Linked DNA regions of Ovis aries. The protein of the gene in region 3 purifies or fractionates together with the protein of the main gene of each other region. This does not show direct contact. Links are inferred from orthologs where the notes say so. Each region holds a gene or a part of one and is shown on either strand. Other genes may lie near its edges.

Region 1 (4,098 bases), on a different chromosome or scaffold from region 3:
TTGCAGCCATGAAATTTAAACAGTTAGAACTGGACATGGAACAATAGCATACTCCTTGGAAGGAAAGTTATGACCAACTTGGATAGCATATTCAAAAGCAGAGACATTACTTTGCCAACAAAAGTCCATCTAGTCAAGGCTATGGTTTTTCCAGTAGTCATGTATGGATGTGAGAGTTGGACTGTGAAGAAAGCTGAGCGCTGAAGAATTGATGCTTTTGAACTGTGGTGTTGGAGAAGACGCTTGAGAGTCCCTTGGACTGCAAGAAGATCCAACCAGTCCATCCTAAAGGAGATCAGTCCTGGGTGTTCATTGGAAGGACTGATGCTAAAGCTGAAACTCCAATACTTTGGCCACCTCATGCGAAGAATTGACTCATTGGAAAGACCCTGATGCTGGGAGAGATTGGGGGCAGGAGGAGAAGGGGAAGACAGAGGATGAGATAGCTGGATGGCATCACCGACTCGATGGACATGAGTTTAAGTAAACTCCAGGAGTTGGTAATGGACAGGGAGGCCTGACGTGCTGCCATTCATGGGATCGCAGAGTCAGACACGACTGAGCGACTGAACTGAAGGAAGAACAGATTAGGCCAGGAGAGTGAAACAAAAGTTCCATTTCAGAGATGTGAAAATTTCATATGGCTAAGGACCAGGCAGTTAGATACGCAGCCATAGCGCTCACCAGAGATGTCAGAGCGAGGGATATTCAAATACACGTATGGAGGTACACGATAAGTATTGAAAACGTTACTAAAGCAATCACTCGTTCTTTCCTAAACCACAAGTCAGAGGATCGAGAGATCAGATGACGGCCAGAGAGTAACCCTGGAGTAGCTGGCTCACGCTTCGGAGGGTCCTTCTGTCCCCGGGTCGCTGGAGCCGCCTCGCACCCCGGCCTCACCCCGCGCTCCGGGCTTGGCCTAATCTCTCCGCCCAGCTTTCCCCAGCCGGCAAAGGCCGGGAAGTGGGAGAAAGATGAGCACGTACCCGCCCGTCCTGATCCTTTCTCAGATCTCTCTTCACCGAGCAGTCTCCGCCTAGCAATTGCCACCGCTCGCAGCCCTCGCACTCCCAGCCCCCTTCTGTATTTAGGAAGGAACGCCGTACCGCACCTCGCTCCGGAAGTTAGGCCGTTGGCGAAAGGGCCGCCGGGAAAACCCCGCGGAGGCCCCGAGAGAGGGGCTGAAGTGGAGGTGAGGACTAGAGGGTCCCTCCTAGACGACCCGCCTCCGGGCGTGGCTCGCGGCCTGCGGGGTTCGGCCTGGCGGAAGAGGCGGTGCTCTCCGCGTGGCCCCGGAAGGGCTTTCAGCGAAGGCGGGCGAAGGAAGCAGCCAAGAGGGGGAGGTAACCCGAGAGGGTCGCTGCGTGCTGGACTGAAGCCACCGGCCTGGTGAGCTTCCAGAGCCGGCTCTCCTGGATCCGAGCTCGCGGAGCCATCCAGCCATCCTGCCTTGTGCTTCCGGGAGCCGCCGCGACCGACAGCGCCTGCGCGCCGGCCACTCCGCGCGCATCGCCGCTGTCCTCCCGCCAGCCGGCGGCCTGACGGTTCCTGCCGCGCTTCGTGACCGGTGTCTCAGCTCCGCGGAGCACCAGCGTGCGGCATGTCGCGGCGGCGGCACAGCGACGAGAACGATGGTGAGTGCCCTAAGCCCGGCCGCCGAGGCCGCGCTCAGGTGGGCGGAGGTTTGGCTTCCCTGGTGTTCGGGTCTCGAGAGAAGGGACGGGAAGCCCTTCCTCTAGGAGCGTTCAGGGAGCCGCGTAGAGAAGGGGGTGGCACGGCGGGAGTGCGGCCGGGCAACTTTGGGAAAGCCCCTGCTTCCCCCGGTCCCAGTTCCTCAGTCGTTGGCCACGGGGAGGCCTGGTGGACCCCGGTCCCTAGGAACTCTTCAAAATTTGGCTCTTAGCATCGCCGAGCAGGGAATTACACCTGTGTCTGTGCCTCCGCTTCTTAGGGACCTATTCAACCCAGTGTCTCGTTTTGACCCTCAAATTGCACTTAAAAAGGACTCTCAAAAGATGAGAGATCTGCTGAGTCCCGATCTGAGCTTTCTCCTGTTCCCGTCATCCGTCGTCTTGCCTTCTTCCAAGCGATAGGGAAAGAAATCGGTCTTATCCACACCCAAGAGGTCTCTTAAGAAAGAGATGTACGTAGATTGTTGTGTTACATTTTGAGCTGAGTGTAAGCATAGTTCCCTCGTGTAATAGAGTGTTGGAAGACTAACTGGAGAGCTCCTAGAGATTTCGATCAACCATTTGGATGGTTGAGCTCATGGGGATCATGGAGTTGCCATGTAATAAAAACCAAGAATAATTTTGCTAGCTAAAAATAGAAAAGATATTTATCTTGCAAAAATCAGTCAAGAAACAGAAACACATCCAACAAACAGAAAACCTAACAGTTATTGTTACTAATAGTTTAGGGTATTGTTCTTCGAGAAGAGTGTAGTTTGGTGGTTAAGAGGCCAGACTTTGGAATCAGAGGACTTTTCAAAGCCAGACCCTGCTGTTTACTTTGTGATCTTGCCTGGGTTATATTACCTCTTTAAACCTTACTCTCTAACTTAGAAATAATGATACGAACCTTTTGGTTTTGTGAGAGGTAACACATGTAACTAATTGCTCGTGAAGATGTGTATTTTATCACCTGATAATGCTTAAGAGCTGATAATCATTGGCAGATGGTGACTCTAATAAAAAGTACAGAACAAAAAAAATTGAATTAATTTTCTCCACTGACATTTTTCTCTCCTTGAATGTTGGGGTAACTTAGGGGTAGGAGCAGAATCCCACTAATTTAAGGTTTTTTGTTTGGTTTGTTGGTTTGGGTTTTGTTGCTGTCTCTTTTTTTGGCCGTGGTATAAGGATCTTAGTTAGGGTTAGGGATTGAACCTGTGCCCCCTGCAGAGGAAGCACTCAGTCTTAATCACTGGACCACCAGGGATGTCCCCCACTTAGTTTTAATAGTGTATCAGATTTCTCCTAGAGCTTGGCTTGGGAGGATATTCTACCCCAGCCTGCTCACCTCACACCTGAGGTCTACAGTTTTAGTGTAATTAACATGGAGACAGCATTAGCAGTGCCCAGATACCAGTGAAAGCAAGTTGAGAGTTACATTACACAGGTATTCCTATGCTGTATCTTTGATTTTTATTAAACACAACATAATGTACATACAGGGCACAGAAAATAGTTTTCGTGTGCTTTGTATCTGATTTGTTAATTTAATCTCCTGGAAGTCATCGCTTGGGATTTGGAGAACTTGGGTCTTTTAAAGTTCTTCCCATTGTCTTTGTTCTTCTCATGCTTTCTCTACTCTTTCATCATCTCCTTTCTAGGGTATCCCTAAAGGGAGAGAAAATCTTTCCAAGGGGCATCCTGGAGAATTGGATGTAAATTTGTAGAAAAACAACTTTTGCTTTGGTTATTGGGATGCTGGTATAACGTTCTTAGGAGTTAGCTTCTGGCAGCTAAATCACTGTTCATTTGGTGCAGAAATCTCAGAATAAATAAAGACAAAACAAAATAAGGAGTTAATTAAGCAGCGTTTACTATAAATAATTTAGTAGTTGAAGGGCAGTTTATAACCCCTCTTAGATACTACACCAAGTCTGGAGCTTTCGTAAATTGCCACAATTTGGGTAATCATCAGCTAGGGTTTATTCTAAATGGTGATCTGAGTCACATATTTTAGGTAACTTTCTTTTGGTTAAATGCCTACTAAATTTTTTTTTAAACCAGAAATTTTGAAAACTTAAGTATTATAGAAGGCTGTTTTAAAATAGGCCAAATTTTTGTTGTGTTAAATAGATGCATCTAAGCATTTCTGGATTATTGTCAGCTCTTACCAGTCCCTAACTGCCATGACTCTCTGTGTGCTTGACTAGACACAGTAATTTATTCAACAAATATTTAACAGTGCCAGGCACAGTTCTAACTCCTGGCAGTACAGCAGTCGACGATAAAAGGTGCAGTCTCACTTTTACAGGCAGAGAACAATCAAGTAAATACAGTGTATCATATGGTGTTAAGTATGGTGGAGAAAAATAAAACCAGTTAAAGAGGGTAGGGCTCTTGTCAGGGAGGAGTTGCTGTTTTG
Region 2 (4,298 bases), on a different chromosome or scaffold from region 3:
GTAGAAAAGGAGTGGGAACTCTCAATTGACAGAAGCAGAGAAGGAATAATAAACAGTAATTAATGCAAAAGAAGGCAAGGAGGATAAACAGGATTATAGGAAGGACAAAAAGCACCTTGGAAGAAAAGTTATGACCAACCTAGATAGCATATTGAAAAGCAGAGACATTACTTTGCCAACAAAGGTCCGTTTAGTCAAGGCTATGGTTTTTCCAGCGGTCATGTATGGATGCGAGAGTTGGACTGTGAAGAAAGCTGAGCGCCGAAGAATTGATGCTTTTGAACTGTGGTGTTGGAAAAGACTCTTGAGAGTCCCTTGGACTGCAAGGAGATCCAACCAGTCCATTCTAAAGGAGATCAGCCCTGGGTGTTCTTTTGGAAGGAATGATGCTAAAGCTGAAACTCCAGTACTTTGGCCACCTCATGCGAAGAGTTGACTCATTGGGAAAGACTCTGATGCTGGGAGGGATTGGGGGCAGGAGGAGAAGGGGACGACAGAGGATGAGATGGCTGGATGGTATCACCGATTCGATGGACGTGAGTCTGAGTGAACTCCGGGAGATGGTGATAGACAGGGAGGCCTGTGCTGCGATTCATGGGGTCACAAAGGGTTGGACACGACTGAGCGACTGAACTGAACTGAACTGAATATGAATTGATGTAAATGCAACCACAGTATATCCATATACTTGGCTGTGAAACTTTGCATAAAGGTGGAATCCGCCAGAGAGGTTGTAGAATGAGGAAAGGAGAGGAAACGACAAAAAATGGCAGCGGTCTGGTCCTTCTCTCCTGTCGCTTCCCTTGCCCTCCTTTTCTGAGCTCTCTTTCCAAAGGCTGTCTCAGTTTCCCTTCTAGTCCCTCACCATCAGTACTTTCCCTGAGTCAATCAACATACATACTCATATCCGTTTCTTCTGCTTCAGCCTCTGTGAACCACATCCAGACATGTAGTGTTCACAGTCACCCAAAATCCCTTCCTACATGATTTCGGTTGCCTTTTCCATTTCACTCGCTGATGGCAAAAACAGCTTTTAAAGGCTGCATATTTTGAGGGAGAGAAAAGTAGGATTACGGTAGTTACATTTACTGAAGAAATTTAAAACAGAAAAACTGTCCCAGGAGAAAAAAATTAAAAAAGCACCGCTAGCAGAGGATGGTTTCGATCCATCGACCTCTGGGTTATGGGCCCAGCACGCTTCCGCTGCGCCACTCTGCTGTTGCCGTTTTCACCCCCCAAGAATCATAGAAAGGTCTCTAGATGCCAGCCACACTAATTTCTTTACACAGCGCTCTCTAGTGTCTGCAAAAGGGCGTTAACGTCTAACCTGTTCTTATTGGCTAGTTACTGACAGAGCAGGCCCTTTTCATTGGCTCAATAAACCGGTTTGCCAAAGCAAACCAATAGGCACAAGCAGCGGAGTACGGCGGGAGCCAATCGCGCTGGAGTTTGTTGGGACACGCCGGCAAGCTGCCTCTCCAGTTGTCGGCTCCCCAGAGGAAAGGGGCGGTTGGTGTGGCCTCCATTGTTCGGGATCTAGGACGCCATGAGGTAAGGGTTGTGGGGTGCCCTGGAGAGGTTTCAGGTATTCGACCGAAAACTTTAGGAAGTTGGTCCGAAAGGAGTCGGCGGACTGGAAAGGGCCATGTACCTGGGGGTTGCACGGAAACCTGAGAACTCCGGCTCTAAGAGAAGGGGAGGTCGGGGGCAGTGGAGGCGGGGAAACTTGGCCGGGGATGGGGGGTGGGGCCCAGGAGTCGAGAGGCGGTTCCGACTGTTCGCTCTCTGGGGGGTTCAGATGAGAGGGTGTCCTCAGGTTCCAGGAGGAGCACCCCCACACCTCCTATTTAGACTGAGATGGCTGGAACGTGTCTCATTCATCCTCAATGCCAGTTGCTTGACATACACGATACGCCTGATAGATGCTTTTACTACATGAACGAATGAATAAGCAGTCACATTAGTCTGCGAAGTATTAGGGTTGGCGGGACCCGGCGATTATGGGATGTTTCTTGTAGGGCTCTCTTTAATGTGGTTTGATGTGAATCAGTTATCCAGTCATGGGGAGTGAGGCTGGACATTTGGAAGGTGTAGAAGTGTAAGTGAGAATGGGATCCTTTGGCTTCCAAAGGGAAGTGCAGAGCGATAGAGGTAGGCTAACCTGAAATCATACGGCCGGTACCGAGGAGATTGCTTCAATGAGATGAAAAGAAAGTTAAAATATGTTAATAATGCATTTCTAGGGGTGACAGAGGCCGCGGTCGTGGCGGGCGCTTTGGTTCCAGAGGAGGCCCAGGAGGAGGGTGAGTGCCAGTCCTTAGCATCTGTGCCCGTTGGTTTCCCTTTCAGTCATCTAAATAGGAGTGGAGTATCTTACCTGCCTTGTTGAGATCCAGCTGTAGTTTAGAAGTATTCTTCTCATGCTCTCTTGATAAATGAGTTTGGCCCCATTATGTGAAGTCAGTTTGATTTATGTGGTGAGTAATCTGGATTGTTTTTCCGCTTTTTAGGTTCAGGCCCTTTGTGCCACATATTCCATTTGACTTCTATTTGGTGAGTACGGTGTCTCTTCCCTGGTGGCTAAGAGGTTAAAGTGTCTGCCTCTAATGCGGGAGACCTAGGTTCGATCCCTGGGTGGGGAAGATCCCCTGGAGAAGGAAATGGCAACCCACTCCAGTATTCTTGCCTGGAGAATCCCATGGACGGAGGAGCCTGGTGGGCTACAGTCCATGGGGTCGCAAAGAGTCAGACACGACTGAGCGACTTAACTAACTTAACTTTGGCCACTATTCAATTGTTGTTTCTTGGAACCTGGTGTCTCCCTGTTAATGAAGTCATGTGGTAGTTGGAGTAGAAAAAGGGAAGTTTTGAGTCATCTGTGTTGCTTTACATACAAAAAAGTATAACCTGGGTGGGGAAGATAGGTCCTTCATTACAATCGACAGTAACATGATTATAATCTTTGTTCTGAACAGTTAATTGTATCACTGCCTTGTCTGTTAATATTAGGGTCACAAGAGTATAAGTGTTGTAGAATTATCTCTTTTTTTGTGTTGTGGCAACAGAAAAATCTGTTGCATATTATTTTTGGCAAGTAGTATATAGTATATTTCTTGTTTAGTGTGAAATGGCTTTTCCCCGGGTCAAGCCAGCACCTGATGAAACTTCCTTCAGTGAGGCCTTGCTGAAGAGGAATCAGGACCTTGCTCCTAATTCTGCTGAACAGGTATATTCTGTTGGTTTTCTTCCTGAGATTTCATGAAGGAAGCTAGAGAAGTAAATAGCTACTTGGTGAGATTACTGTTGTCAGAGCCTGAACTCCACAGGTTTAATCATTCTTATTTTTCATTGTGTGTAAAGGGAGAGCATCAAGTGAATGTATAAACAGATTACATGTGCGTTCATATTATTATTGGGGAATCTGTCGTTGGGATCAAAGTTTTCTCTTCTGGCATATTCAAGGCTGGGAGGGTCTGGGTGCTTTCAGAATCCGGTATAGGTGTTGATTCCTATTGAAGGAATTGGGGAAATAGTCAAACTTGATGAAAAGTTGCTTGGTATTTCACCTGAGGGTATTTTTGTTTCCTGCTATTTTTCAGGCCTCTATCCTTTCCCTGGTGACAAAAATAAACAATGTGATTGACAATTTGATTGTGGCTCCAGGGACATTTGAAGTGGTGAGTTTTTGAAGATCTAGTCCTAGGAAAGGGAAGTCATGGAAGTGTGAAAGTTTCCTTGGTTCCTGTCGCTTGATTCTTCAGATGCTTATTTAAAGCCACTCTTGGAATGGGAAAGTACAGTAGAATTCCTTTGTCGTGCTGGTCTTAGGGACCAGATTCATCATTGCTATCAGCTAGCTGTAATGAATCAGGCTTTTCATTGCTCATTTTGGAATATGATTTGAACTCTGCTACTTCCAAATCTGGGTAATAAGCTTCTCACTTGTAAGTTTTGTTTTTTCTTTCTTAAATCCCTTTTCCAACAGCAAATTGAAGAAGTCCGACAAGTCGGATCATATAAAAAGGGAACGATGACTACAGGACACAACGTGGCTGACCTGGTAGTGATCCTAAAGATTTTGCCAACATGTAAGTGTGCCTCTCTTTGGCCACAGCAGCAGAACATAGCAGTTGGATTTGAGGCATAGGGATTTAAATGGTGTGCTGTATGTGAAAGAATGTATGACCAGTTACTGCAGGACGGACTTTGCTCCCCAGGGGACATTCAGCAATGTCTGGAGATGTTTGAGGCTAACGTCTTCTGGTAGAGGCCAAGGTTGCTGCTAAGCATCCTGCAGT
Region 3 (3,535 bases):
GGCGTGCTGCAGTCCATGGGGTCGCAAAAAGTCGGACATGACTGAGAGACTGAACTGAAAGTACAAGGTGCCCAGGCAGCTCCCCTGGCACCCTGCCCACCATGCCCCTGTCTTCTCAGCCCACAGGAGCATTGAGAGCCACCCTCAACCTCCCTGCCTAGACGCCTGGCCTGCCTATGCAGCGCCCTCTGGGAATGCTGGGGATGGTTGGGTAACTGCAAACTGGGGTGACTTTCACTGGAGCCCATCCTGTCAGCTGCCAACCCTGCACATGGGTTTGAGGGCAGGTTTCTGTTGAGCCCAGATGTCAAAACATCTCTGTGGGAAAATGAACTCAGAGACGAGTCTCCTCATTTGCAGACCTGAGTCAGCCTCCTGGGCAACTAAGTCACACGTGGCAGGGGCAGACTCCACAGCTGCCTCAGGCATTCTGATGGGCTGGGCACTTGATGCCCAAGCCAAGCTTCTGGGGGAAAGCTTACATTCATCAGCTGTTTCGGGGCTCCCCGCCTATGCTGGCTACCAAATGAAAAGCAAGGTGCCCTCAGTGGGGAGGGAACCAACATGTGAATGTGAGTCCCACTTGCAGCTGGTACAAGGGTGGCTGCTATCTGGTTTCATGTGGGGGTGACATGGGGTCCACCTGATTCTCTGGGTCCCTCACTATTTCGAAAGTTATATTCCAGAGCTGAACAAGGCAACTGGACAGAAAGCCACCAGGACACAGAAACAAAGACCACTCACGGGTGAGAGGTCCTCTCCAGACTGCTGCTGGGAGCCCTCTGCCGCGCCCCGTGCCACAGCCCAAGGCGCGGCTGGGGTGTGAGAGCTGACAGGAAGAGAAGCAGGCCGGGAGCAGCTCTCAGGCCAACCCCTCCCAGCACTTTGGAAAGCCTCCTACGCACGAGGGGCCGCCCCTGCAATATGCAGCTCTCCCTACCGTGCTCTGGTCAAGGCCACGTTGAGGCGCCTGGGGTCATTCAAAAATCCAATGCCTTGGTGCTCATTGGCCCGCACACAGGAGAGGATGATGAAGTCCTTCTCACGGCCCTGGAACGCATCCACACTGGCAATCTCCACCTCCTACAGGGGCAGTAAGCACGGTCAGCCAACAGGCTTCCTCCAAGGAGCCCTCAGCCCGCACAGTCTATCTAAATGCACCACTGAATCCCACAGATGAGCCTGGGACCTGAAGCCGGCAGGGCCCCCCGCTGCCAGGTGGTGGAGGGCAGGGCCTGGGGCGGGGCCCGGCGGAGCAGGCGGGCACGCACCTGGTAGAGCTTGGTGTGCAGGGAGCCGCTGAACTGCATGTACTGCACCAGATAGGAGCGCTGGCCCTCGTAGGGGGTGATGATGCCGATCTGGTCTGGCTTGGCGCCCGCCTTCAGCAGCTTCGTGGTGATCTTCTCCACGTTTGCAGCCTCCGTCCTAAGAAAGTCAGGCTTTCACTTCCCAGGCTCCATCTCTGGGCTCCTGAGACCACCCCCCAGGACTAGAGGCTGTGGAAGGCTCGGGGCAGCCTCGCCTCCAGTACAACCCTATGGAGGCCCTGCTTGGCACACCCGTGGCTGGGCAGCCCACCATTTACCAGCTGAGTCAGGAGGGACAGAAAAGACTCACACGGGGGCTCCTAAAGGATCTGCTCAACAGGAAATAGACACTGAAAAGATGAGGCTGGACCCACGCTGCTGGTTTGAGAGTGGGAACAGAATGAGCGCAAGGGAACCAGGACAAGGCTCGCCACCGCAGAACACGAGACCACAGGCGCGCAGTCCCGGGGAGAGCTGTCCCTGAGGCCAGCAGGCACCACAGACAAGTCTCTGCTTACCTGTTCAGGTAGGAGGTGCCTGAGCTGGCAATCTCCTCTTGGCCCTGGGTCACATAGAAGAACATTGGTTTATCCGGTTGGGGCCACTGAAAGTCAAACCCCTTCTTTACACGATCCGCTGGCATCGTGGAGGAGAAAAAAGAAAACATCCTGTTAGAGAAGCAAAGCGCGGCCGGTCTGGGTGCGCTGGGGTGGAGAGCGGAGTGGAGGCCACTCCATCCTGGGCAGAGGCACACGGCAGAGCAGGAAAGGGCAGGCTCCAGCGACTGCCCCAGGTCTGTGGGTCCCAGGGGAGGCCATCGGCGGGGGTCCTCTGAGCGAAACTCCCAGCAACACTTAGCACTATACCTGGTACAAAGCTGGCTTACTTGCAGAACAGATCTCACTGTTAAGTGTTTTCTGTGGCCTATGTCTGCCCCAGGGTAAAGAAGATATTCTATCTTCTTTCAGAAGGTTTATGATGTACCTTAAGGGACTCATATGCACCCACACCTGGCTTTTAACAATGACACTGTTGATGCCCAACGTCTTGTCCCAAACCAGGGCCTGTGGACAGGCGGGTCTGCCTCTGGACTCTCTCAGGCCCTGTGTGCAGCGTCTCTGGGACTGCAGCTGGACAGTAGCTCGTGACATCCCCAAGTATGAGCTGCCACCATCCTCAAGCTCTTTCATGCTCATCTTAAGTGCTCAGTCCTCTGCAAGTCCTTATGATGCTGAAAATCAGTCTATCCAATCAGACAGTCCACCCATTCTTTTGGGAATTTCTGACTGGAGTTACACCTAATCAGATTAATATAAGAAAACTGGAATTTTTGCACCAAAATAGACTACCACAGATGAAGGAAGGGCCTGAGCTGTGAGGACACACGGTATGATCCCTTTTATGTCAAGCTGATAATGAGGCAAAGACTCGATGTTTCAAGTGAGGGCAGTGGCTAGAGCAAGCTCGGCGCTGGCAAATGTTTAACCACCTGCCAGGGACAAGGCAAGGGCTAGCCAGTGCCGGCTAATTTCCAGGCTGTAGATACGCCCACACCACTGATGTCGGCCACCCCGGGGCAGGGCGCCAGCACCATCCCAGACAGGGCTCACTGCCGGGCTGCAGGGTGCTGGGGAGGCAGCGTGCAGGTGCAGGCGCTGGTAACAGACACGGTCCCCTAATGAAAACTCACTAAGCCTGGCACTTCTTTACACTCCTCAGAGTTTTTTAAAAAGTTACTTCGGGGGTGCCATGTCACAGACACTGACGGTCCAGCAGTGAAGCATCGCCAGCAACCTCTACCCTGTGGAGCCGACGCCGTGGAGAAGGTGGAGCAAGGCCAGCGGGAGTCTGTGCCAGTGCCGGTGGCGGCGCCCCCAACAAGCTCCTCGTGACCTGGCCTTTCCTGGTCCTGCCACCCACCAGACCAGCAGCACCCCGAGGGTCGGGACCGTATTGCACAGCAGCCGCGTGCCGCGGACAGGCACTCACACGTCCCGCCTCAGTCTCCTCATCCACAAAGTGGGCTAAACAAAGCCGGTGTGATGGGCTGCTGGCATTAACAAGACTCTAAACCAGCAGTTCTCAAACGAATGGTGCGCTCAGCATCTCTCTACACTCTGAAAGCGGAGCAGTCCAAACAGCTATTATTTCTGTGCATTACAACTACCGATATTTATTGTATTTTAAAACCCCAAAATTTTAAATAATTAAAAAAATTCATTTAA
Region 4 (3,535 bases), on a different chromosome or scaffold from region 3:
AGATGGGGAAGGGACAAGTTTGCCCAAGCTGCTCAGAGATGCTGAGTCCAGGAGTCCTGGCAACCCTCCAGGGCACGATTTCAAGAGCCAGGGGTCAGCTTCCCAGTAAGTCCAGCTGCCCTCTTGGCCAGTTCAGTTTCTACTCTGCCTGTAAAATCTTGTTCAAAATTCAGTTTCTGCAGGAAACATTCCCTGATCGTCCTCACTTGCTGTCTTTTCTCACTTGGTGCCTTTCTCAGAACATGGGTGCAGGAATCCATTCTCATGTGCAATTCTGGACTTATGGATACACATTCAACATCTGAGAGCTGGAGAGGTCTCTAAGAATTATCTTCCAGACTTCCCTGGTGGTCTAGTGGTGAAGAATCCACCTTCCAATGCAGGGGACTTGGGTTCGATCCCCAGTGGGGGGAACGAGGATCTCACATGTTGCAGGGCAACTAAGCCTGCACGCTGCAACAAGAAAAGCCTGCACACTGCAATGAAGATCCAGTGCAGCCAAAAAAACCCCAAACAGATAAACAAAAAAGAACACGAATCATCTAGTTCAGCTCCATGCTTTTCAGGTGAGTGAACTAAGGCCCAGAGATAGCGAAAGACTTGCCCAAGGTTACAGAGCCAAGTGATAGCCAAGTCTGGGCTAAAACCCCCGTCTTCCCTATTACCCTGCTCTGACGCCTCTTTCGGGGGCCTAGATGCCTATTCTGCTACTTGCTGAGCCCTCTGGGACAGGAACAGCGTCATTATCCTTTTGTTCTGCCCACAGTCTGTGGGTTGGCTAACTTCAGTCCATCCTCCCTACTACCAACCCAAGCCCTGACCTCCAAGGTGAGCAGACGGGGGTTCCGGTCTATGGGGTCCCAGGTCATGGGCACTGACTCCAGGTCATAGTGCCGGATGTCGTGCTCCATCTGCAGCTCCTCCAGGTGCAGCAGCAGCCGGAGCTTCACCTCATAGTTCCTCCACTTCAGGGCTGTCTGAAGCTGGGCCCTGGCAGTGATGGGTGGGGAGATGGGAGGGGAGGGATAGGAACAGGATGGGTCAGGCAAACCCCATGTCCCGGAGCACCTCTCCCCCTGCAGCCCTGAGACTATGAAAACGTCAGGAATCAGGGAAGACTAGAAGAGCAGAGAAGCAGATGGGGGTCAGAGGCCTCTAAGAAGAGAGTCCCTGCCCGCCAACCTCAGACCTGCATTGTGGATCCTGGAGCCGGAAACACCCTCTCTCAAAGATCCTCCCATGACTCATACCCTCACCCCATTCAAATGTCATTCTCTGCTCAAATGTCACCTCCTCGAAGAGGCCAGGACTGGCTGTCCTCTGCAGAACAGCACAGCCCACCCCTTACCCTGCTTTAACGTTGGTTAGTTCTTCATAGTCCTCATCACTACATAAGATGAGAAATGCTCACTTTCCCCAGCTACAATGTCAGGGCCTTCATGTGAGTGATTCACCTTGAATGCAGCCTGACACATGGTGTGTTGGCCAGTCAGGGGATGAATGAACTGAGCATGGGAGGCTGAGGACAGAGGCATGGGGTAGAAATAGGAAGTGAACAAAGAAGAAACATATAAAGCAGTGTGAAGGGTGCAGACGGATGGTACTTACTTGATCTCAGCAATCTCCTTCGGGGCAGTGAAAATACTTGTTCCCCGAAGAAGGATGGGGAGCAGCTGTCTGAGGCGGAGGGGTGGGTAGTATGTTCCCAGTGGCAAACTGAACTCCAGGTCATAGTTCTTAGCACTGCAGGAGGGGGGACAAGAAAAGCTATTACAAACACAGAGACCCTTCACCTTCAGAGACTCTGAGAAGGCCCTTCCCTGGGCTAGGCACAAAGCCCTGCTTCGATACTACTGCTGAAAGGGGTCAGTAGCCTTTGCCCTAGAAGAGAGGACTCACTGTCTCACGAGGCTGCTCATGCCAAGGCTGGACCATTTTCATTTTTAGAAAGCATGATACTTGAAAGCATTAAAAGAAAACAAAACAAAACAAAAATATATATATATATACTATATGGAATTCCCTGGCAGTCCAGTGGTTAGGACCCCATACTTCCATGGCAGAGGGGGTCTGTCTTTGATTCCTGGTTGGGGAACTAGGATCTCACAAGCTGTGAGGTTATCTATATATATATATACATATATAAACAATATATGTTCATTAGAGAAAAAAAAATCAGAAACTAGGTAATTAATAAATAAATGGGTAAATAAACAACATGCTTACCATCCAGGGATAACCATTGTTAACTTTTTGATATGTAACCTTCCAGACATTTTTCTTTGTCAATATGTATTATACAAATATATTTTAAATTAATTAGCCAATTAACTAATTAACTTCTTGGCTGCCCTGCATGGTTTGTGGGATCTTAGTTGCCTATGAGGGATAGAATTTGTGCCCCCTGCAGTGAAAGCTTGAAGTTCTAACCACTGGACCCGCAAGGAATTCCCCTATACATATATTTGTAGCAGAAAGAGCACAGTGGTCTCACAGTTTGCTTTTATAGCTCAGTATTTTGTGAACACCTGGACATATTAAAAAGAGATGTCTACACCTATGATTCCATTCACATGACATGTCCAGAAGAGGGAAATCGAAAGAAGTACATGAGTGGTTGGTGAGGGCTAGGAGGCGAGGGGGCCGGGGCACAAAACGGGTGATAACTAAAGGGTATGGGCTCCTTTTGGGGGTGATGAAATGTTCCAAAATGGATTGTGATGATGGTAGGGCCTAACTGTGAATATGCTAAGGAAATCACAGATTGTACACTTTAAAGGAATGAACTGTATAGTATGAAGTTGTTTCCATAAAGCTGTTATGACGGAGAGGGGGAGAGGAAGAGAGAGAAACACGACCACCCCAGCTGTCTGATAATGCATCATACAGTCAAAAATACTTGAAACTTCCACACTGTCCTCATATCCGCTTTTCTTCTTAGAAAAGGTCTCTGAGGTCTGGAGGAGTTAAGAACTCACCATCAGGAAAGGGGCCCATATGGTGATGTGGGGAGGGACCCCCGAGCCTGAACTGGGCTGGACGGAGGACTTACCGGTCGGGTCTCTCTCCTTCCTCTATCCGGCTGGTCACCACAGGGTTGCGAGCGACCTGGGTCCGCTTGAAGGGAGTCGTGGGTTTCAGCTGTGCTGCCAGGGGACTGTGGGCCACGGCGGCTAAGAAGCGGGCGATGTAGAAAGTGCCAGCTCCTTCTGAGCCTGGCTCTCCAGGGCCCAGCAGCTCCCAGAGCACTGTGGCTGGGAAGTAGCCCACAAAGCTGGTCTTGCAGTGAACATGGAGCTCATAGCATTCACCTAGGAGAAGACAGCTAAGTGAGTCGGGTTGGGGAGGGAGCTGCCCAGGAGCATCCCAACCCTGACATCCCCCAGATAGCCCCTACCCAAGGCAAGCCCCACCAGCCTGCAACAGCACATTCCTGAAGCAACAGACCCTCCTAGGGCAGGCCTCCGGCCACCAGAGGCTCTTTGAGAGCCCACTCACCTGGGCCCAGGAGGCAGGGCAGCTCCCGGTCTCCATT
Region 5 (4,253 bases), on a different chromosome or scaffold from region 3:
GTCACAAAGAGTCAGACATGACTGAGCGACTGAACTGAACTGAACTGAGCCCCTTCTCCAGGCAAGGAGGAGGGCAAGTGTCTGGCTGTCCACTTACTGATGACCTGTGAGCAATTAGAATCTATATAACTGACTACCTTACAGGGTTGGCTTTCTAGACAAATGTAGTTGTGAGCCACGCTTAGGTGAAAGAAATGCTATCCTTTTGAAGATTTACCAGGCTATTGGTCTGATGGGTCTTCAGGAGAAAACAGACTTAATTTACTGGTCTCAGTGAGTGGTGCTGATGCAAGTTATTTTATTTCATCCTATTTAGAATCCCTGTACTGGGCTGTGCTGTGCTAAGTCACTTTAGTCTTGCCTGACTCTGCGACTCCCGACTCTGAGACTCCACAGACCATAGCCCACCAGGCCCCTCTGTCCATGGGATTCTCCAGGCAAGAATACTGAAGTGGGTTGCCGTACCCTCCTCCAGGGGATCTTTCCGACCCAGGGATTGAACTCGTGTCTCTTATGTTTCCTGCATTGGCAGGCAGGTTCTTTACCACTAGCGCTACCTGGGAAGCCTGCATGAAGAATTATCACCTCCAATTCCCTGAGGTTGAAACTAAGTCTGTTGCGAATGCTATAAAGCATGCAGGGCCAAGGGTGAGGGAGAGGGTAGCACCTGGGGAGAGGGACAAGCGAAATACTCCTGACGCCTAGATAAAACCACATATCCTTCCATCTGTTCATCACTGAACCCTTAGGACAGCTCCTGGCTCATTTCACTGTGTGAGTAAATGTACGCGAAAATCTTTGTATTGTGTCCATTTGTCCTCCCTGACAAAACATACCCGCTTGGCAAGATTTAAATGTGTTCTTAGACGGCTTCTTGCTTTTTCCAAAAGAAATACCAGGGAAATCAGCTCGCTTAAGAAAGAATGGAAACAGCACCTGCAGCACTGTTTGGGGGTGTAGATGATGGTTGGTGCTGAACTAGCACTCACGAAGTGACAGTAATGTAGAATACAGGGGCTACTAGTAACAGTACGAAAAGAGACTCTTTCCTCTGTCCAAATAGTGTTTTCTCCTCTTGATCCTCCTGGTCAATCGCATACCAAAGAAGAGAGATTTCAGCAGCTTTGAATTGGAAGGAAACTCAGAGGCCCACTTCACAATTATTTATAACCCTGGAAAACAGTAAGTGAGATGAGCACAAGAGTTTTGCTGAAAAGTCGAACGCTATGCAACCTGAGATTTTATTATTTGACAAGAGCAGCCTTGCCAATAGTAAAAATGGCAACTTGACTCCTTCCTTCCCTTCGTGTTAACCTAATGGTTGCCAGTAGCCAACATGGAGGCCAGACCGTGAGTTCCCGTTGGCGGCTGTTCTGAGGCCCCGCCCCTATGAGCGACGGCTGGAAATTGCGGAGACGGAAAGCGTGACTCCGAGTGGGGCTGCGCCTGCGCGAGTTATTGGCGCCAAGATGGCGTTGGAGATGAGGCTTCCCGTCGCTCGGAAGCCTCTTAGCGAGAGCCTGGGCCGCGAGAGTAAAAAGCACCTAGTGGTGCCAGGGGACACGATCACCACGGACACAGGCTTCATGCGGTACGTGGGGTTGTGGGGACACTGGGCGGCAGGGGCGGCTGCATTGCTCTCTTTCCGCATCAAACCTGGGCCTGTGTTCTGCATCTAAGTGCTCGCGGTACCCGGGGCGCATCTGGGAGCATCTCAGTTGCCTCGTTTTCGAGGCTTCGGACTTCCTACTTCCTGCTTCTTGTATGTCCCCGTCTGTAGCTGCCTCAGCTCCCCCGAAACCTTCCTGTCCCGATCACTGGTAGCTGTGACTCGTGGGTCCTGTGCCTCAGGCCCCGATTCTGAGGCCTTCCTCGTTGAACCTGCAGCTAGGGCCTCCTCACAGGTTTCGGCGGAAGGGATGGTGGGCGTTTTTGACTTCTTCCACTTAGCCCTCAGCATTCCGTCTCCTAGCCAGGGGCACGGTTTTGGAACGAGCCATTGCTTGGGCTTAAAGAAAGTGAAGTCGCTCAGTCGTGTCCGACTCTTTGCGACCGCATGGACTGTAGCCTACCGGGCTCCTCCGTCAATGGTATTTTCCAGGCAAGAATACTGGAGTGGGTTGCCATTTTGGGCTTAGGGGGCATGCAAATATATTATGTTACATGCACCAGAATAGGTAACTTTGAGTCTGAGGGCAGGCTCCAGCTTAAGGGCAGCTGGGGTTCCGGTCCTGCTGCCGTCACAATATTAGCTGTATCACCTCTCCGAGGTCAGTTTCCTCGTCTGTAAAATAACTATTCCAGAGAATGGTGAGGATTCCATGAAAGTGAAAGTGTGGAAGAGTTAGTCCCTCAGTCATGTCCGACCCTTTACCACCCGGTGAACTGTAGCCCGCTAGATTCCTCTGTCCATAGAATTCTCCAGGCTAGAATACTGGAGTGGGTTGCATTCCCTTCTCCAGGGATCTTCACCACCCAGGGATCCAACCCAGGTCTCTGGCATTGCAGGCAGGTTCTTTACTGTCTGAGCCACCAGGGAAGGATTACATGAGGGGTAATGATTATGAAAAAAAGTAAGACTCACCATTCTATCACCATCACAGTGGTCAACACTACTCATACCTCAGGCAGCCTCTGCCCTCCCCCCATATGCATATGAGAGAGGTACAGCGTTTATTCCATTGCCCTTTAACCTCTTAGTTTGGGATTATTGGTTCCCAGGAAATCTTAAGATTCAGTCCTTTATTCATGCAGTCCATAAATATTATTTGTGGTTGGGGTATAAACTGAACAAAGAGGAAATCTCTGTCCTGGTGGACTTTATGTTCTGAGACAGACAGATGAGAAATAAGCACAACAAACAAGTTATTTAGAATATTTGCTGGTAAATGCAGTAGAAAAGAATAAAGAAGTGAGGCAGGGTAAGTGGAGCATAAGTTGGAAATATGGTGGGGATGGCAGCCGCAGGGCGGGTGACTATTACAAATGGGAGAGTTGAGGAAGGCCTGGTGGAAAAATGCCATTTGAGTCGACTTGAGTACAGTGCAAGAGATGGCCACGTAGGACTCTAAAGAAGGAGTGTTTAGGCAGAGGTGGCAGCCAGCAGAAAAGCCTGTCTTTGAGGCAGGAGGAATCAGATTTGAGGAACACATTGTTCTGGCTGCTAGAGGTCACCTCAAATATTACCCTGGTATCCTTTGTATCTTCCTGTTGCAACAGGGGCCATGGAACCTACATGGGGGAAGAGAAGCTCATTGCATCTGTGGCTGGCTCTGTGGAGAGAGTAAACAAGTTGATCTGTGTAAAAGCTTTGAAAACCAGGTGAGAGCAAAAGGTGTGTATTTTGTGGCATCTGAGTTGCACAGCCAGGTCTTTTCTGCCATGACACACCCCCTACCCCCAGCCCTGCCTGCCCTGTCGTTCTGTAGGGCTGGGATTTCGGGAACATGACTGGAGGAAGGGTAGAGATGACTGTAGGTAAGGGTAGGCTTCAAAGGTTTCCCTACGATATCTGACCTCTTCAAACTTGGGTTCCCTCTCCTGCAAAATGAGACCTTGCCTGACCTCCTGGGTAGGATTTTCCTTGGAATTCACCGAAATAGTGTGTATAAAGTACTTTACACAGAGAGCCGTCTGCCTTGAGGGCTCAGTAAAGGTTAGCCCCAGAACATGAGCCAGTGGGGTTGGAACAGAGTGAGCAGGCGAGTAGTAGGAGCAGATGCAGAGAGGTGAGGTAGGCAGTCTGCATGCCCTGCAGCCACGATAAACGTTTCTGACTTCCACTCTGTGCGGTCTAGGAAGGCCCTGGAGCAGAAGGACCTGATCCGCCGCCCTCTGTTTTAATGGAGTCACTCTGGCTGCTGTTGGGGGCGGGGGTGGGGCAGGGTTAGGGAGCCAGATTCCTGCTCTGTTCTCATCATCTCGGTTGGTGGTGGCTTGGACTAAGGTGATAGCCATAGAAGTGGGGAATAGTGATCAGTTCTGCGTGTATTTCGTGTTCTGCGTGTATTTACTGTGAAAAGCTGTAGGATTTTGTATGTGGGCTTTTCTACACGTAGGACTATGTCTGTGAGAAGAGATCGTTTTATTTCTTCCTTTGGGGTGCTTTTTATTTTCTGCCTACATTGGTAAGGTAGAGGTCTTAGAATCTGCTGCTGGACCTGTCCTGGAGCAGGAGAGAGAGGGGAGGAGGGAGATACACACGGTTCCTCCAAAGACTCCAAGGACTGTGGCTTGAGCAACCGGAGGGGTGG
Region 6 (4,153 bases), on a different chromosome or scaffold from region 3:
GCATGAAAATGAAAAGTGAACATTACTATGCTCACTTTAAAGATAAGAAACCTGAGGTCCAAAAAGTTTAATCAGTTCACCTTTGGTCACAGTGAATCACTGTCACACGAGGGATTATTTTAACACAAATCTCCAGTGACATTCCCCCCACCCACCACCCCAGCACCCACTCTTCATTCTATTATCAATACTTTTTCGGGGAGAAAAGTAGTAACGGCAAGATTGGGAATGAGATTCAGGGACGACGCCAGGAGTCGGACACTACTGAGCAACTTCACTTTCATGCATTGGAGAAGGAAATGGCAAGCAGCCTGAAGACAGAATAGTGCTATAGTCGCGCGTGCTCAGTCGCGTCTGACTCTTTCGCAGGCCCTCAAAATGATGCCATTTCAGCACTGTCTCTAGAAACAAATCCGTTTTCCATTTGGCTGGAACTTAGACGAGCTAAAGCAGGTTTCTAATAAGAGTTTAGTTGCCCTTGGCCTAATCAAGGAGGAAAAAATTTTCCACAGCCGAGAAAACATTCGCAGTCAACCACTTAGGCCTGAAAACACACGAGCTTCCTGGACAGTAGTTCACAGTCCTGATTCAAACTGCGGAGAAAAAGTAAACACCAACACACAGGTTCACTGTGGATGATTTTGGCTTTATTGGTTTGGAACCAGTATTTTTTAGGTGCTCCGTCCGAGGCGATTCAATTGCGCGGATGGAGTGGGAGATCAAACATTCAAAACTTAACTCTTACTCACAACAACTCATCTAGAGACCAGTGAGGCAAAAAGGGGAAAAAGTGAGGTAGAAAGAGATAAAATGGAGAATAAGTGCGGGAGAGTTAGTTGCAAAAAAAAAAAAAAAAAAATGGCAAGGTCCACTGTGGATTTAGGGAAAGCGTCGCTGAGAAGTTTCTTGAACTGATTTTTAAACAGCAGAGTTCAGTCGGAGCCAACGTTAGAGACGCGCCGCGCCGCGCTGCGTTCTCCCAAGAGGTCGGATCCTTTAACCCTGTTTTACTGATGGGACGACCTAGGTTCAGAGACGGTGAAGGGCCTATTTCGACTCACACTGTTGGGTATCCTAATTGAAACTGGAGCCTGGGCCTCAAGCCCAATGGGGATACTGACGAACAGCCCTCACCCTCTCCCAGTCGCAGGCCGAGGGGGCGGAGCTGAACAGACTTCGCCTCCGGGGGAAAGGGGCTTTATTCCGGCGGGAAGGGAAAAGTCGCCTGGTCCCATCTCCGGAAGTGGGAGGAGAGAGGGAGTCGCTCCGCGACGCACGATGACGTTTCCTAACGTCACTTCCTCGCGCCGCAGTAAACGTCAGTGTTGGGCGCCTTTAGCGGCGGTGCGGATTGCTCTTAAAAGTTTGGTCTTGTCTCCGTTTTGCGAGCCATGGAGAGTGACTTTTACCTGCGTTACTACGTGGGGCACAAAGGCAAATTCGGCCACGAATTCCTGGAATTTGAGTTCCGGCCCGACGGTGAGAGAAGCCTCCCGGCTCCCCGGGAGCGAGGACTATGCCTGGGGGCGGGAGAGTGGGGGGGCCGGGGATCCGTAATGTACGAAAAACTAGAGGAAGGGACCAAGGGTGTGAGGCGCCGATTTGGAAGGAACGATCCTTGTCCGCCCCACTGATTCTTCCTGTCCGTGTGCTGGGGCTTCTGTTTAGTGACGATTTTGACCATATTGCTTTATTCAACGAACCTTTCTTGAGCACCTATCTGTGCCAGTCTCACTTCCACAATCTGGGGTGTAGGAGTGAACGATAAACAAGCTTCCTCTCTCGTGGAGCTTGTATTCTTTTACTGGGAGGTCGTAAACAAAAAAATATCCCAGATAGTGTTGAGTGATCAGAAAATAAAATGATGGAACAATTGCTGATGGGCCGCTTTAAGGAAGGATAGCTATTGGAGAACTCGCTGAAGAGCCGGTGTTCGAGCTGAGCTCTGATTGACAAAGAAGGAGCCAGCTCGGGAAAAGAACATTCTAGGCAGAGATGAGCTAGGCATGTTTCAGGTGGCCATTGTGGCTGAAGAGCAGTGAAAACTCCGGGGAGAATAGTAGGAGATGATGTCAATTAGGTAGGCAGGGGCCACCTCATACAGTCTTGGTGAGTTTGGATTTTTTTTTCTAAGTGCAGCAGGAAGCAATTGGGAAGTTTTAAGCAGAGGTGTAATCTATTTTTGAGAAAGTATTGTAATTATTAGGTGCAGAATAGGCAAGAATGAAAACTACTTAACAGGAGATGGTTACAGTTGTTAAGAGAAAAAGGATGTTGGTTAGAACTATAACAGGAGATGGTTACAATTGTTAAGAGAAAAAGGATGTTGGTTAGAACTAGAGTGATAGTAAAAGTAGAGAAGGATTTAGGATACAGTTGGAGGCAGAACCAATAGGACTTTGCCAATTGATAGGATTTGGTGAGGGACCAATATGGTGAAGGAAAAGGAGTGAAAGATGGCAGAAAGCTTCCACTAAATGAAGGCATAAAAAATGAGCTTCTTGTAGTTCAGTTGCTAAGACTCTTTGGGACCCCATGAATGAACTGACAAGCCCAAATTGTGGAGAAAGTTATGTTAACAATGATAAGACAGTGTATAAGGTGTTGTAGAAAGAAACAGAAAAGACTCTGGGAGTGGAAAGAAGGCACCTAACCCATACATCGTTTACGGGTGAACTGTATTTTGGTTAACTCCAGCTCTGTGTGAGAGTCCTGTTGTAGGAATGAGGCTGGAAATGAGCTCAGCTTAGCCGGAAGCCACATTGAGGATTTTGGACTTTATCAAGAAGGTAGTGGGGAGCCGTTGTCAGTATTAAAATGTCAATATTAGAGTGACCCAATTGGATCCATCTGTTACTGTTTCACTCTGTCCACTCTACGGAGAATGAACTGAATGGAGAGAGACTTGAGGCAGAGACACAGTGCAGTAAGGCATCAGTTGTTTTCACTCTTTTTAGTGTGCCTTCTATAGGGAAAAAATTATCTCCTTTATTTCCTTTTATCTTCTTCATATCCACCATATATACCCAAATCAGCCTGTTTGATGAACAATGTTACAGAGGGCCTTGTATACCAAAAATGCTCAATAATAAAACCACAGCTTTTCTATCATGTTTAGAAAAGGAATAGATCAGTGTTTCACAGTCATATGTAAATATATGTAAAAACCATTTTATAGTTTTCAGAAACTTTCACAATTCTTTTGAGCCTCTGAAGGCCCTGTGTGTAGGTAGGTTATCAATCACTCCTATTTTCAGCTGAGGACATTAGCCAGCTGAGATACAATTTGCCAGTCACAAGAGTCTGTTCTTTTATCACACCTGAGCTGTCTTTTGCAAGAATTGTAAATCATTGTCAGCTGTAGTTTTGGCTAGAAGGTTATTTAATAGTGTTCACTGGGGAAAAAAAATAAATAACTTAAAGTTTGAGAATTGTTTTATTTAGTGGAAACACTGGGGACATAAGCCTGGGAGACAGGCTCTCAGATAGCTTTGAGGGACTATTCTGAAGAGGTGAGGGATGAGCCAGGATATATAGGAGGTTTTAGAGGGGAAAAAAAACCCAAAACAAACAAAAAACAGGTAGAACATCTAAAGGTTACTGTTAATAAAATACCAGACATCTAAAGTTAATGAAGTTAGCATTTTTCTTTGTATGGGAGGATGCTGGGCTCTTTGAAATCATTCCTTTGATATTCACCTTAACTGTCCAGGACCAGCATCCTGTTTTCAACATCCTGAATCCCCTCAGAGTGCACCCTTGGGGAAGGGGCTGGGGGTGGTGTGGCTGCAGTGGCTGATGGCTTAATGGCTTCAACAGCCTTTGTTTACTGACAAGGCAGGTGGCATTTTTTTGTTCACCAAAGCCTAAAGTGAAAAACTGAAAAGACTAGTGTTGCTGAAACACCAGAGGGGTAAATACTAAAACTATTAGACACTTTGAAGGGTAAGTTAGGATACATTTTAAGCAATAGCTGATAGTCTTGGTAGGCTAATGACGCTTTCTTTATGTTTTTATTATATATTGAATTTGTTTTTTGTCCCTCACAGGGAAATTGAGATATGCCAACAACAGCAATTACAAAAATGATGTCATGATCAGAAAAGAGGTAATGAATCTTCTGAGGGCCTTTCATTCACTACCATTTAGCCTT
Region 7 (4,023 bases), on a different chromosome or scaffold from region 3:
GGTAGGCCAGTGAATCTGGGACGAGGTGCTGAGGCAAGGAATACTTTATTCTGAGAGCCTGCTGACTGAGAAGGCGGCAGACTGTCTCAAAACAACCATGTCATTCGGGTCGGGATGCCAGATTCTCTCATAGGTCAGAGATGGGGGAGGTGAGGGAACCGTAAAAAGGCCGGTAATCTTGCAAATATCTCCTAGGATTGCAAGCCTCAGGCAGGGTATATGCTAATTTCTTCCTGCCTTCTACTGGTGGACAGGGTTCTGAACAAAAGGCACTTTAGAGTCTGGCAGAGAAGCAGGGTTCTCTGAGGCAGGGTTTATGTATGATTGTCAAAACAGTTCCAGCATGGAGTGAGAATTGGCTTTTCCCTAAAACATGGACTGTAGCCCGCCAGTCTCCTCTGCCCCTGGGATTTCCCAGGCCTGGAATACTGGAGTGGGTTGCCGTTTCCTTCTCCAGGAGATCTTCCCAACCCTGGGATTGAACCCAAGTCTCTTTTATCTTCTTTATTTGCACGCAAGTATCACCACCTAATGCCTGGAGACTGGCCAAAGGCCCAGCCCAGTGAGGGGGGGTAGGGAAGGGAAGGGGTATGTGTGTGTGAAGAACGTGACACAGGCTCACGGGTTGTGTGTGTGTGTGTAAACAACGTGACATAGGCTCAGGGGTCTGAGCATCTGACGCCGGCAGCGAGTTTTCGGGGCGCGAAGCCTGCAGCCCGAGGCTGCCTCCTCTTCCGGGTTCCGGGTTCCCGCCAGCGCGGACAAAGTCCCTGGCGTGCCGACCAATCGGAGAGCGCCCCAAACCTGGGCTCGGCCAATCGGAGGCGCGCGCTTTGCCCCCTCGGCGCGCCCGAGTCGCCGGCCGCCGAATCTCCCGCCAATACGCCTACCCTCCCCCCCCCCGCCCCGCCCGCGAAGGCGCGGCCAATCAGCGTCGAGCGGCCCGGCGGCCCGGCCGCCTCCATGGCGGAGGGGACACGCTTCTCTGAGGGCCTCGCCTCAGTCTCCCCGGCGGAGCCCCTTGGCCGCCCGGATGGCAGCGCGCGGGGCAGCGGGTTCGCGGCGGCCGCCCCGGCCTGGGCCGCCTGCGCGGCGCGCGCTGCGGCGGGGCGCCCCCTGGGCCGCGGCCCGATGGTCTCGCCGGCGCGGCGCGCGCGGGAGCCTGGGGGGCGGGGCGGCGCCCTATAAGCGCGGCTGGGGGCGGGGCGCGCGCGTCAGTCGGCGCCGCGCGGAGAGGAGCTCGCGCCCGCCGCCCGCGCCGCCGGCCCCGGGAGCCCCGCTCGCCGCCTCGCCATGGCCTACAGGCCGCGAAGCCCCGCCGGCGGCCAGGACCGTCGCGACCACGACGCCAGGTGAGGTCGGGCCGCGCGCCGGGTGCTCCCGGGCGGGCGCGCGGCGGGCGGGGGGTCCGGGCGGGGGTCCCGGGCGGGGGGTCCCGGGCCGGCTCGCTCTGACGCGGTCTCTCGTCGCCAGCCCTCCGCCCCCCGCGCGCTGGAGCCTCGGACGCAAGCGCACGGCCGACGGGAGGCGCCGGAAGCCCGAAGACGCCGAGGGCCTCGCAAGGCCGCCCAGCGGCCGCAGACCCGACAGGTGGGCCCGTTGCGGCGGCTGGGGGGGGGGGGGGGGCCTGGGCGGAGGTTCCCCGCACCTGGCTGACCGGCCGGGCTCGGGGCGCCCCTGGGTCCCCACCCCTGACGAGTCCCGGCCCCTGTGCGTCACAGCAGGACCGGGAGGCCCCTGAGGATCCGAGGAGGCGTCTCAGTGACGGGTGTCAACAAAACTGGGCTCAGTCTCAGGCAGCGGGCCCTGCTAGGTGCCAGGGGTGGCCTGGAGGGCCGCCAGAAACTTCACAGAGCGTCCCAACAGGGCGAGTCAGGCTCCCCCGAGAGAGTCAGGAAAGTTGGGTGTTGCAGCAGTCACAGAAGGTGGGCGCCAGGAGGCAAACCAAGACTTAGGCTCCAGGACCCTGCGTCCACCCTGAGGCTCCTGAGGCGCTTTCCCCTCTGAGGAGCCTTGGCCATTCTCATGCAGCTTGCGGTTTACTCGAGTGTTTTCTAGGCGGGGCAGCGTGCTGGGGAGGTCAAGACACTGCCAACCATGGTTTTTTTTTTTTGTTCTGCTTATACTCTGACACAGGTGGGTCAGCAAGTCAGACGAGGTATTTCAGGGAAACGAGTGGCTGAAGAGTACACGCAGGGGGTGTCCGGTGGTGAAGGCCGGCGTGCTCTTCAGATCCGTGGTCTGGCAAGGCCTCCGTTGGGATGAGCTGGGAGGTGGTCCCTTGAGGATCCACACACCAGGGCCCTCAGGTGGGGATGCATTTAGCTAGTGTGAGGACTGGCTAGAGGAGGACAAGGGTGGGGCCAGCTGCCATGTCAGGCGAAAGGGGCGGTGAAGACTGCCCAGTGGAGATGGTATGAGGAGCGTGTAGCTTCGGGTAGGCTTCCAAGGCAGGACTCTCAGTACTTGCTGATGGGTTGAGGGGCTGGTGCCGGGAGGAGTCAAAGACGACCCTAGCTTTGAGACCTGGAGACCTTGGTCTCTTATGAAACCTTGTTACCGGGATGAAGAGGATGGTGTGGACCAGACCTGGTCTGCGGAAGGAATTAGGCTTTAAGTTTTTCAGATGAGTAAAGAAAAGATATTGAGAAAGCAGCATCTAACAGTCTGGGTTGGGAGGCACAAACTGAGTTATCAGCACACACGTGACTTTTAAAGTTGTGAGAGATCTGGGAAGGATCTTGGGGCAAGATGTGAGAGGAGGAGAGGCTCTAACAGCCCTGGGGCTAGATGTGAGGAATAGGTTATTGTTTACTTGCTAAGTGGAGTTCAGCTCTTTGTGACCCCTTGGATTGCGGCACTCCAGGCTTCCCCATCCTTCACCATCTTCTGGAGTTTGCTCAAACTGATGTCCATTGAGTTAGTGATGTCATCCAACCATCTCATCCTCTGTTGCCCCTTTCTCCTCCTGCCTTCGATGTTTCTCAGTGTTGGAGTCTTCCAATAAGTTGGCTCTTCACATCAGGTGGCTAAAGTATTGGAGCTTCAGCATCAGTCCTTGAAATGAATATTCAGGTTTGATTTTCTTGTTGTCCAAGGGACTCTCAAGAGTCTTCTCCAGCACCACAATTTGAAAGCATCAGTTCTTTGGTACTCAGCCTTCTTTATGGTTCAACTCTAACATCCATGCATAATTACTGGAAAAACCACAGCTTTGACCGTAAGGATCTTTGTTGGCAAAGGGATATCTCTGAGTTTTAATACAATGTCTAGGTTTGTCGTAGCTTTCCTTCCCAGGAGTTATTGTCTATATTAATTTCATGGCTGCAGTCACCATCCTCAGTGATTTTGGAACCCAAGAAAATTGTTTCCCCATCTATTTGCCATAAAGTGTTGGGACCGGATGCCATGATCTTAGTTTTTTGAATGTTGAGTTTCAAGCCAGCTTTTTGACTCCTCTTTCATCCTCATCAAGAGGCTCTTTAGTTCCTCTTCACTTTTTGCCATTTAAGTGGTATCATCTGCATATCTGAGGTTATTGATGTTTCCCTGGCAGTTGATTCCAGCTTGTGATTCATCCAGCCCGGCATTTCGCATGATGTACTGTGCATATAAGTTAAATAAGCAGAGTGATGATACACAGCTTTACTGTACTCCTTTCCCAGTTTGGAACCAGTCCATTGTTCCATATCCGGTTCTAACTGTTGCTTCTTGATCTGCATACAGGTTTCTCAGGAGGCAGGTAAGGTGGTCTGGTATTCCCATCTCTTAAGAATTTTCCACACAAAGTCTTTCAGGTAGTCAATGAAGCAGAAGTAGATGTTTTTCTGGAACTCCATTGCTTTCTCCGTGAGCCAGTCAGTGTTGACAGTTTGATCTTTGGTTCCTCTGCCTTTTCTAAATCTAGCTTATACGTCTGGAAGTTCTTGATTCACATACTTTTGAGGCTTAGCTTGAAGGATTTGAGCATTACCTTGCCAGCAGGTGCAGTGAGCACAGTTGTGCAGTACTTTGAACATTCTT

What was found.
Region 1: the proteins of UPF1 (region 3) and NCBP1 purify together in Homo sapiens (co-immunoprecipitation; 3 studies listed by BioGRID and IntAct, with this or other methods). This does not show direct contact. The link is inferred for Ovis aries from reciprocal best matches to the Homo sapiens genes UPF1 and NCBP1.
Region 2: the proteins of UPF1 (region 3) and ILF2 purify together in Homo sapiens (affinity purification with mass spectrometry; 3 studies listed by BioGRID and IntAct, counting the BioPlex papers as one, with this or other methods). This does not show direct contact. The link is inferred for Ovis aries from reciprocal best matches to the Homo sapiens genes UPF1 and ILF2.
Region 4: the proteins of UPF1 (region 3) and MOV10 purify together in Homo sapiens (affinity purification with mass spectrometry; 3 studies listed by BioGRID and IntAct, with this or other methods). This does not show direct contact. The link is inferred for Ovis aries from reciprocal best matches to the Homo sapiens genes UPF1 and MOV10.
Region 5: the proteins of UPF1 (region 3) and EXOSC2 purify together in Homo sapiens (affinity purification with western blotting; 3 studies listed by BioGRID and IntAct, with this or other methods). This does not show direct contact. The link is inferred for Ovis aries from reciprocal best matches to the Homo sapiens genes UPF1 and EXOSC2.
Region 6: the proteins of UPF1 (region 3) and MAGOH purify together in Homo sapiens (affinity purification with western blotting; 3 studies listed by BioGRID and IntAct, with this or other methods). This does not show direct contact. The link is inferred for Ovis aries from reciprocal best matches to the Homo sapiens genes UPF1 and MAGOH.
Region 7: the proteins of UPF1 (region 3) and SLBP purify together in Homo sapiens (affinity purification with western blotting; 4 studies listed by BioGRID and IntAct, with this or other methods). This does not show direct contact. The link is inferred for Ovis aries from reciprocal best matches to the Homo sapiens genes UPF1 and SLBP.

What each region holds. Positions count from the first base shown.
Region 1 is NC_056055.1:50,020,834-50,024,931, reverse strand, and holds the start of NCBP1 (nuclear cap-binding protein subunit 1), read left to right. Parts: upstream 1-1,297; 5' UTR 1,298-1,603; coding exon 1,604-1,637; intron 1,638-4,098. UniProt on the Homo sapiens protein: Component of the cap-binding complex (CBC), which binds cotranscriptionally to the 5'-cap of pre-mRNAs and is involved in various processes such as pre-mRNA splicing, translation regulation, nonsense-mediated mRNA decay, RNA-mediated gene silencing (RNAi) by microRNAs (miRNAs) and mRNA export.
Region 2 is NC_056054.1:104,112,171-104,116,468, reverse strand, and holds the start of ILF2 (interleukin enhancer-binding factor 2), read left to right. Parts: upstream 1-1,495; 5' UTR 1,496-1,546; coding exon 1,547-1,551; intron 1,552-2,243; coding exon 2,244-2,303; intron 2,304-2,510; coding exon 2,511-2,553; intron 2,554-3,121; coding exon 3,122-3,226; intron 3,227-3,599; coding exon 3,600-3,677; intron 3,678-3,985; coding exon 3,986-4,088; intron 4,089-4,298. UniProt on the Homo sapiens protein: Chromatin-interacting protein that forms a stable heterodimer with interleukin enhancer-binding factor 3/ILF3 and plays a role in several biological processes including transcription, innate immunity or cell growth.
Region 3 is NC_056058.1:4,158,458-4,161,992, forward strand, and holds part of UPF1 (regulator of nonsense transcripts 1), read right to left. Parts: intron 1,947-3,535; coding exon 1,829-1,946; intron 1,429-1,828; coding exon 1,272-1,428; intron 1,084-1,271; coding exon 941-1,083; intron 1-940. UniProt on the Homo sapiens protein: RNA-dependent helicase required for nonsense-mediated decay (NMD) of aberrant mRNAs containing premature stop codons and modulates the expression level of normal mRNAs.
Region 4 is NC_056054.1:90,086,477-90,090,011, reverse strand, and holds part of MOV10 (helicase MOV-10), read right to left. Parts: coding exon 3,499-3,535; intron 3,312-3,498; coding exon 3,053-3,311; intron 1,744-3,052; coding exon 1,609-1,743; intron 991-1,608; coding exon 822-990; intron 1-821.
Region 5 is NC_056056.1:5,933,754-5,938,006, reverse strand, and holds the start of EXOSC2 (exosome complex component RRP4), read left to right. Parts: upstream 1-1,452; 5' UTR 1,453-1,469; coding exon 1,470-1,591; intron 1,592-3,219; coding exon 3,220-3,321; intron 3,322-4,253. UniProt on the Homo sapiens protein: Non-catalytic component of the RNA exosome complex which has 3'->5' exoribonuclease activity and participates in a multitude of cellular RNA processing and degradation events.
Region 6 is NC_056054.1:27,774,272-27,778,424, reverse strand, and holds the start of MAGOH (protein mago nashi homolog), read left to right. Parts: upstream 1-1,321; 5' UTR 1,322-1,391; coding exon 1,392-1,479; intron 1,480-4,049; coding exon 4,050-4,108; intron 4,109-4,153. UniProt on the Homo sapiens protein: Required for pre-mRNA splicing as component of the spliceosome. Plays a redundant role with MAGOHB as core component of the exon junction complex (EJC) and in the nonsense-mediated decay (NMD) pathway.
Region 7 is NC_056059.1:117,526,860-117,530,882, forward strand, and holds the start of SLBP (histone RNA hairpin-binding protein), read left to right. Parts: upstream 1-1,213; 5' UTR 1,214-1,293; coding exon 1,294-1,352; intron 1,353-1,473; coding exon 1,474-1,590; intron 1,591-4,023. UniProt on the Homo sapiens protein: RNA-binding protein involved in the histone pre-mRNA processing.